2 linked regions of the Tribolium castaneum genome follow. The protein of the gene in region 1 purifies or fractionates together with the protein of each later gene. This does not show direct contact. Links are inferred from orthologs where the notes say so. Each region holds a gene or a part of one and is shown in the gene's direction. Other genes may lie near its edges. The genes, in order: small glutamine-rich tetratricopeptide repeat-containing protein alpha and BAG family molecular chaperone regulator 2.

Region 1 (4,604 bases):
AGAAAAAAAGAGTTTTAAGGTAAGGACGAAACTAACAAAATAGTGAGAGTAATAAACTGAGCGAAAGCAAGAATTTTTACCAAAAAAAAAGAAATTTATTTACAGACAAGGTTGCAGAAAATTAAATTTTTTTGTTGGGTTGAGAGAATTACGAATAAATAAATGCAAAATTGTGTTTAGTTCCGAATCATACATGAGATTATTGTTTTTTAAGTCAGTTAATATGATCAAAGTTAAAAAAACACTTAGAAACAACTGAAATCACTTGACAAAATATGTGGTTTTAAAACTAGACCTGTACGTTCAGAAATATAAAAAACAAATTAATCATAAGCCGTTTATTATTCCCAAATTTCGTAATTAAAACAAGGCAAAAAAAATAGTTGAAAAAGATTAATAAAACATGTAGTTATTAGTATGTTAATTGCTTCTCAACATGAAAAAAATACCCCAAGCCTTGTTAGAAATTAAAAGACACACTGGTTAAGTTTTGTCAAAAAGACTTGCCGTAAAATAACATTTTAGAACATTGTTGGAAAAATTTTCATCAACAATACCATCAGAAGATTCAAAATAATCCTTACTGTTGATTTTTGGTCTGAGCCTAAAATTATAGTCATAATGGCACTAGCTCCAAATTTCTAAAGGAACCTGCCGTCTTGTATTGTTTCCTTTATCGGCTTATCAATTTTGTTTTCAAACTCTGAATACCCACATTGTTTCAGGGATTCAACAAAGTCATAAAAAATTGTCTCAGATTCCGACTTCAATAAACCGAATAAAATCATTCTGTTATTATGTCGGTAATCATCATCCTACAATGTTTCTAGAAATCAACTAGTTACTAAATTAATACGAACCTACAGTGTTTATACTGGCAATTAAATTGTTGACTAATGGGTCTTTTGTGGAGAGACTTTTCATTACATTTACTAAATCGTGGTCCCTCACTAATTCAACAAAATGTTGATAAATGAAGTTTTCCTGTTCGGGCAACATTTTCAACATTTGTTTAGTTAAACTCAAGACGTTGTGAAAATAAACTGGGAAAGAAAACACTAGAGATAATGGTCAACAAAAAAGGGCATAAAGTTGAGCAAGTTATACTAACGCATGCATTGGAAAAGTAAGTCAAAATATTTACTAAAACTAAGAAGATGCATTTAAACCACTTTATTTAGCTTAATTGGTTCACAATAGCTAAATGGTAAAACAAATTCAAAATTTTAACAACGTATAGTTGGTTGCTTAGGCTGGGCGCGGTGGATAAAAAATTAAAAACAAAAATTCGTCGCCCATATATCCCATTATCCCCATTTCAATTTGGCAATAACGGCAATGCTTTTTTGGAGTGAAATGGTGCACAAATTGAGAGTTTCTGTATAAGAAAATAATTTTGTGTTAAACTGAATCCCAACCACAAATTTTGAGCCAATTCCAAGAGAAAATTAATTTCGAAAATTGTCATTTGTTGCTAAATATTTGTTTTTTCGAAAATATTTTTTTCTGATTTCAAGTTTTCTACGTGTCTTTGGTCGGTATATCAGAGTCCCATCTTGCCGTCAATTACAAGACGAGAAGTTCTTAACCTCAACAAAATTTCTAAAAATTAATTCCAACAATTTCCCCCAATTTAATGTAGAAATCGGCGCCTGCCTTTGCCTTGAATTTCTCTTTATTTTTGCAGCGTTCCGTTGAAAACCTGCTTTTCGTATTTCCTTGCCTTTTTGTAAGTACCTTCCGCATAACCAGAAAATCTCATAAAAGTGGCTTCGCAGTGCTCCCTATTTTGCAACACGTCGCCTATAACCATTTTCACTCCATTCCTTTTCCAAAATGGAAAATTCAAATCTACGCAAAAAGACTCTAATCTTCAACGTCCTGGACTTCTTATCAGGTGAGGTCGGCGCTTCCGACCTCTCCGAGGAACGAAAGGAATCAATTGAGGTGGCAATTCAGTGTCTAGAAACCGCTTACGAAATTTCAAGCGACGATCGCCAAAATTTAAAAAAAGTTGATCTCCTCGCTCAAATCCGACTGAACGATGCGGTGAGACCATTAAAATATTCCGGCTTGTTGTTTACATGTTTGCTTAGGGGGTCCAACAAGAGCAGGCCCTCGAGGCGGAGCGCCAGAAAAATTTGGGCAACACAGCGATGAAAAACGGCGAATATGAGGAGGCTGTGCGTTACTACTCAATGTGAGTTACGGCAAATTTTGGCAAATTTCTGAAGTTGTTTGCAGGGCTATCGAGGCAAACCCCACCAACCCGGTGTACTTTTGCAACAGGGCCGCGGCCTACAGCCGCTTAGAGAACAATGAAGAGGCTATCAAAGACTGCAAACAGGCCCTGGTTCTCGACCCGACTTACGGCAAAGCCTACGGTAGACTGGGCATTGCCTATTCGAACTTAAACCAATGGGCCGATGCTGTGCGTGCTTACGAGTCCTCCCTCAAATATGACCCCCACAACGCCAGTTACCAAACCAACCTTACTCTAGCCCGCGAACGCCTGTTCGAGTCGATGGGTAAGAGTTAAAAATTACGATATAAAATTGAAATCTAAGTTCCAGAAAATGCAGCACCTCCACAACACCGCCCACTTGACATCACGCAGTTCATTAACAACGAGCAATTTTTGACCATGGCGCGGGAAATGATGGCCAATCCCGACTTCCAAAATATGTAAGTGCCCCAAATACGAAAAACTTTGAAATAATTATTCATTCGCAGAATGTCTGGCATTATGGCAATGAGCCAATCGGGGGATACCAACTTTGAGGCTCTTTTTCAAGCGTAAGTATTGTTTTTTTCACTTATTGGCAATAAGCAATAATAAATTACTAGAAATAATAATAATAATAATTCTTTATTGGTGGTATATGTTTTACGCAAGTCACAAAAAATACATAAATACATACTCATAAGATATTAAAACTACATTTAAAAAACTCATCTCAGTTCTACAAACAATTAGCTTTTAAACAAATTTTTAATTTTTCCCTAAAATCGACCGGGAAAACATTGAAAAAATTTATTGCATCGTACCGGGTACAACTCTTTACTCTAAAGATCCTGTTATGCAAAGGTATAATATTTTTGTTCCTCCTTGTATCATGGTCTTGAAATTCTTTGTGCCTGATATATTTATTAATATTTTTCTTAGTATAGAGAAGAGAGTTTAAAACATATAAAGATGGCAAAATAAAGACTGCTCTACAATCAGCTTTGTAATTTAAAGCCGCTATCATGTGCACTGCTCTCCTGTTAAGGAATGGTTTAGCAAAAATTTGAAGGTAGACAGAGAATGGCAAAACGAATCGACTAAGTAAATTTTTTGAATATCGAAAATGCATAGTACTCTCAAAAAATCGTTTTAAAAAACTTTGACTTGAACTTCCCAAAGGTCCCAAAAACCGCTGAACTAGAATGGTAAAAATTAGCGTGTACTTTAAAATTATTGACAAAACGGCAGAGGTAAATTAATTTCTTGGTCCACTTCATAATTCTTTTATTTCAATTTGTGTTTTGTTATAAAATACAAAAATGTTTGCTTAAGGAAAAAATTAATTGTTAATAAACTAGCATAAACCACACAATGGCTTAATATATGGATTAATAATTTTTTTTAAATTAATATATGGATTAATAAAAAAAAATTCACATACAAAATATTGCTAAGCCATTCCCTAAACCCCGTATAATAATAATTAAAAAAAATAATTCACTGACCTTTATGGCATCTTCGGCTACAAGTTGTAGAAGTCCCACCGCATCATCTTCTTAAGCGGACTTACTGGAATGAAAAACAATAAAATTAGAACAATATGCCTTAACTTAGTTGAAAATATTACAAATACTACAATTTTAATTTTTCGAAAAAGGAAATATTGCAGACTAACCCTTTAATCCGGATTGTTTCCTCCTTTTCTCCCTGGGAATCCATTCTATCAACACTAACACTAACACCACTAACCGCGATCAACGAATTTGAAATTTTTAAACTGCAAATTTTTCGATTTTATTTATGAAGCGTCCGATCGCGACGACAACGAGTAACAAACTGCACATAATTGTGTAAGAATATGGATAAAACGTCACCAAGAAAAAATGTAATCTGAGATAACTACTAATTCTTGTAAGGTGAATTGATTGTTACGACTTCGTTAACGTTTTTTTCATATACCTAAATGAAAAATATACAGGGTATTTAATCGTTGAAACGTATTGCTTAAAACTTATAAAAATAATCAAATCATTTTGAATACAAATTCACACAATTGTGCCTTGAGCGTTGGAAAGCGGGAAATTCTTTCCCGTTTTGTAATTTTGTAAGTTGGGAGATTGGGGAGATTTGTGTTTGGTGCAAATAAAATATGCCCCGTTACAGAAAATCAGTGTCGTTTTTTATAAATAACATGCTTAAATACGGACTGAATCAAAAGTAACGCACAAAATTCATATTTTTGTTGAGTCGTGTGTCCAAAAAATCCTTGAACAAGTGGTTTTCATTTTTGTAAATGCTGCATTCTGACATCATATTCGCCAGTCTCAGTTTGGTTTACTTTTTGTTTAGGGGGCAGAACTTGGCCAGCAGGATGCAA
Region 2 (3,247 bases), on another chromosome or scaffold:
TCATGGTCAATTCGGAAGATCTAGTCGCAGCGAGCGAAATCGAAAGCGATTCCTCGGCACCGTCCAGTAATCGCAGCCAATCGCAAAATTGTTTTCTAAATTCGCAGGAGGTTCTGAACAATGAGGATACATATTCTTGCGATTTCTCCAACATACTGTCGAATTTCAATTTTTCGACAGTGACCACGTCGCTTGATAGCATCAATTCGTTACAAAGTATACTTGAGTTGGACCAAGACTGTAGTGTAGTTTTGCAAGGGAGGATTGGGCAAGGGTTTTACGGGGAAGTGTATAAAGGAACTTTGGAATATCCCGGAAATCCTGAAATTGAACCGAGAATCGTGGCAATCAAAAAACTGAAATCGTCAACTGTGTCTGCGTGTTTGCAAGACTTCGAACGGGAAATTAACATTATGAAGACTTTGCAGCACCGGAATATTGTTGAAATTTTGGGGGTTTCCCGGGAACCGGATATTTCCCTAGTCATGGAGTTCGTCCATCATGGCTCTTTGCAGAGTTATTTGAAAATCAATCGAGAGTCGTTGCAAATTAAACAGTTGTTGAAATTCGCGCTTGACATTGCTGAGGTTTGTGGCCTTATTATTTAACCAACTTATCAAATAACATTTTTTATTGACTAGGGAATGAATTATTTGGGCAAGAAAAACATCGTCCATCGGGACTTAGCCACCCGGAATATTTTGGTAGCTGACGAAAACCACGTCAAAATCTCCGACTTTGGCTTAGCGCAAGTCATTGGCACTAATGACTATTACATCTTGAAAACAAACCGGGAATTGCCGATTAAATGGTAATTAGCGAAAAATCACGACTTGAATTACTTTGGTCTTGTTAGGTACGCGCCTGAAAGTTTACGAGACGGCAAGTTTTCCGTGCGTTCCGACGTTTGGTCGTACGGTGTCACAATGTGCGAAATGTTCAACTGGGGCGAAGAGCCGAAATTGTCGAATCTGGGAGAGGAGGAAGTCAGAGGTCAAGAGCAGCAAGTTCTCTTGAACGCCTTGGAGAGCGGGGCCAGGTATTGGTCCGTTGCTGACTTCGTTGGTTTTATCGTTGCCTTTTATAGATTTCCGTGTCCTCCAATGTGCCCACAAGCTGTCTATATACGGATTATATATCCGTGTTGGCACGCGGACCCCCACGAGCGGCCCGCGTTTAGCGTCCTCGTCCAGGAAACGCAAGACCTGCTAACGCAGTATTGAGTGATATTCAGTGCCCATGCAAGGGTGAGCACAGGAAAGAGCACCACTTTGTATAATCTTTTGTATTAAGTTATTCACAAACGCCTATTTAAGATCAAGTGTTAGATTTTAGTTTAAATAAGTACCTGTCGTTTTTATTATTTGCTCAATTTATTTGGAACAAGCACTTCTCGTGCCATTTCTCAGTGCAATCAACTTGTAAATATGTATATTCTATATTTTAAAATAAATGTTAATTTAAGGTTTTTTGCATCATTTCGCTGGACCATTTGTCTCTTTGAACAAATGGCCATTCGGTTTAAAAAAATGCGTTAAAAGCCGCGAATTAATAGCGATAAACATTGAATAATGGTAATGAAAGTACAATTAAGCAGATTTATGGTGTTTTGGGGCGTTTTTTATTGTATTGATTGCGTTTTTCGAGGCGGTTTCGAACTAGTGGGACTAAGGAGTAATGGAACTTTCTAGATTTTGAATCAAATGACCAATGAGTTGTTCCTGTGCTGAATCAAATTGATTTAAAATTATTAGATAAACTGGCGTCAACCAGCAACGATAGCTGCAACAGAATGGACATAGATCCATCTCCGAGTACTTCATCCGGTAATAAATCCTTCTTATCAATATGTTTTTAGGTTATGTCAAAATTTTTGTGTTTGACTAACAGCCCGAGTTTCAGGCTTCTTAATGGATCTGACGTACTCAGGATTGCCAAGGATCGATGAAAACAACACCGTGGATCCCAAATCGCCCAAAGAGCGGGTTTTAGAACTGTTAGATATCTTAGAAAGTCATGTTGAGAAGTTGCGGAGGGAAGCGGCGCAGTTGGAGGAGGACCGGGACCACTTGTTGTCATCCCTGGACTCGGTTAGAAACACTGATTTAATAGTCGACTTACCGGATAGTAAGTATACCAAAAGTAAAAGTCGTTCGTAATTAATTATTTGTAAGATGATAGGGATGATGTTTGCCAGTACGCTGAGCGCATCATGAGCCGCTGCCTCACGGTGGAAGTGAAGATTTTAACTCAGCGTGATAAGATGCAAGAAGAAGCCTTGCACCAAGTGAATCATTTGATAGACAGTCTTGTAATGTGTGTGAAATCGGATCCTGAAAGTGCAAAAGCTAGATGTATAACCTTCATGAATGCTTGTTCTTCGAATGTGGTGCACGGGATCACGGATAAAAAGTTCGAATCGGCTTTGTTAGGATGTACCGTTGACGACCAAAAACGGGTAAAGAAACGGCTTCAAGGTTTGTTAAATTACTTTGATAAACTTAATGTAACTTCGATTCCATAAACTTACTTAATAGTGCGTTGTTATTGATTGTGGCCCGCTTATTGCCATTATATACACATTAAATCGTTAGTATTTAACCAATTGAGTTGTCTTCATTACGGCTTTAATACAACACAGTCGTGTTAACTTAAAATAGCCACTGTGATTGTTTAAAAGACACTTTATTTATAATTGATGAATTAAATAAAATTATTAATTCATGTATTACTTATTTCCGTGAAATAAAATACTTAGGGTCTCTTAGATGAGTCACTGTAAGCGCTTGTTTCAAATCTTCGCTTGTTGTTGGTGAATCTGCTATAAAAGTGACTGTTGTAACAAGAGAGTGTTGAATAAAACCGTTTTCAAGAAAGTGGCCTTTAATATCGTGCGGGTCCAACCAAACGAAAAGACTAGGGGCGTCGGCTTTCACCCACACGTGGAAGCGCAAGCCTTTCGCGTCAATCATATCAACTGAAATAATCTAAAACAAAGCTAAAGCTCTTATCGGTTAATCCCCCGGAAAAATTACCTCAACATTGGAGTTTTTAAGTTTAGCTTCCTTAAATTTTGAAGGGAAAAAGTAATTAGACGGGGTCAAAACTGTGCCGTCTTTCCCACCAACAATATGCACAAAGCAGTTGTATTTTGCTACATCTGCAGCGCCACACCCGGAATCGGACAAAAATTGGTCCACATCGTATGATGCAACTAGTCTTGCCACCAAAGGCTCCTTCAAAATGC

Evidence for each region.
Region 2: the proteins of small glutamine-rich tetratricopeptide repeat-containing protein alpha (region 1) and BAG family molecular chaperone regulator 2 purify together in Homo sapiens (affinity purification with mass spectrometry; 3 studies listed by BioGRID and IntAct, with this or other methods). This does not show direct contact. The link is inferred for Tribolium castaneum from reciprocal best matches to the Homo sapiens genes SGTA and BAG2.

The regions. Positions count from the first base shown.
Region 1 is NC_087403.1:5,038,899-5,043,502, reverse strand, and holds the start of small glutamine-rich tetratricopeptide repeat-containing protein alpha, read left to right. Parts: upstream 1-1,521; 5' UTR 1,522-1,729; intron 1,730-1,778; 5' UTR 1,779-1,836; coding exon 1,837-2,049; intron 2,050-2,096; coding exon 2,097-2,200; intron 2,201-2,244; coding exon 2,245-2,528; intron 2,529-2,567; coding exon 2,568-2,685; intron 2,686-2,733; coding exon 2,734-2,796; intron 2,797-4,576; coding exon 4,577-4,604. UniProt on the Homo sapiens protein: Co-chaperone that binds misfolded and hydrophobic patches-containing client proteins in the cytosol. Mediates their targeting to the endoplasmic reticulum but also regulates their sorting to the proteasome when targeting fails.
Region 2 is NC_087396.1:11,144,955-11,148,201, reverse strand, and holds BAG family molecular chaperone regulator 2, read left to right. Parts: upstream 1-1,610; 5' UTR 1,611-1,792; coding exon 1,793-1,826; intron 1,827-1,902; coding exon 1,903-2,127; intron 2,128-2,174; coding exon 2,175-2,524; 3' UTR 2,525-2,728; downstream 2,729-3,247. Other genes in the region: hop (tyrosine-protein kinase hopscotch), read left to right, coding at 1-587, 642-811, 857-1,039, 1,088-1,223; beta-mannosidase, read right to left, coding at 2,733-2,987, 3,036-3,236. UniProt on the Homo sapiens protein: Co-chaperone for HSP70 and HSC70 chaperone proteins. Acts as a nucleotide-exchange factor (NEF) promoting the release of ADP from the HSP70 and HSC70 proteins thereby triggering client/substrate protein release.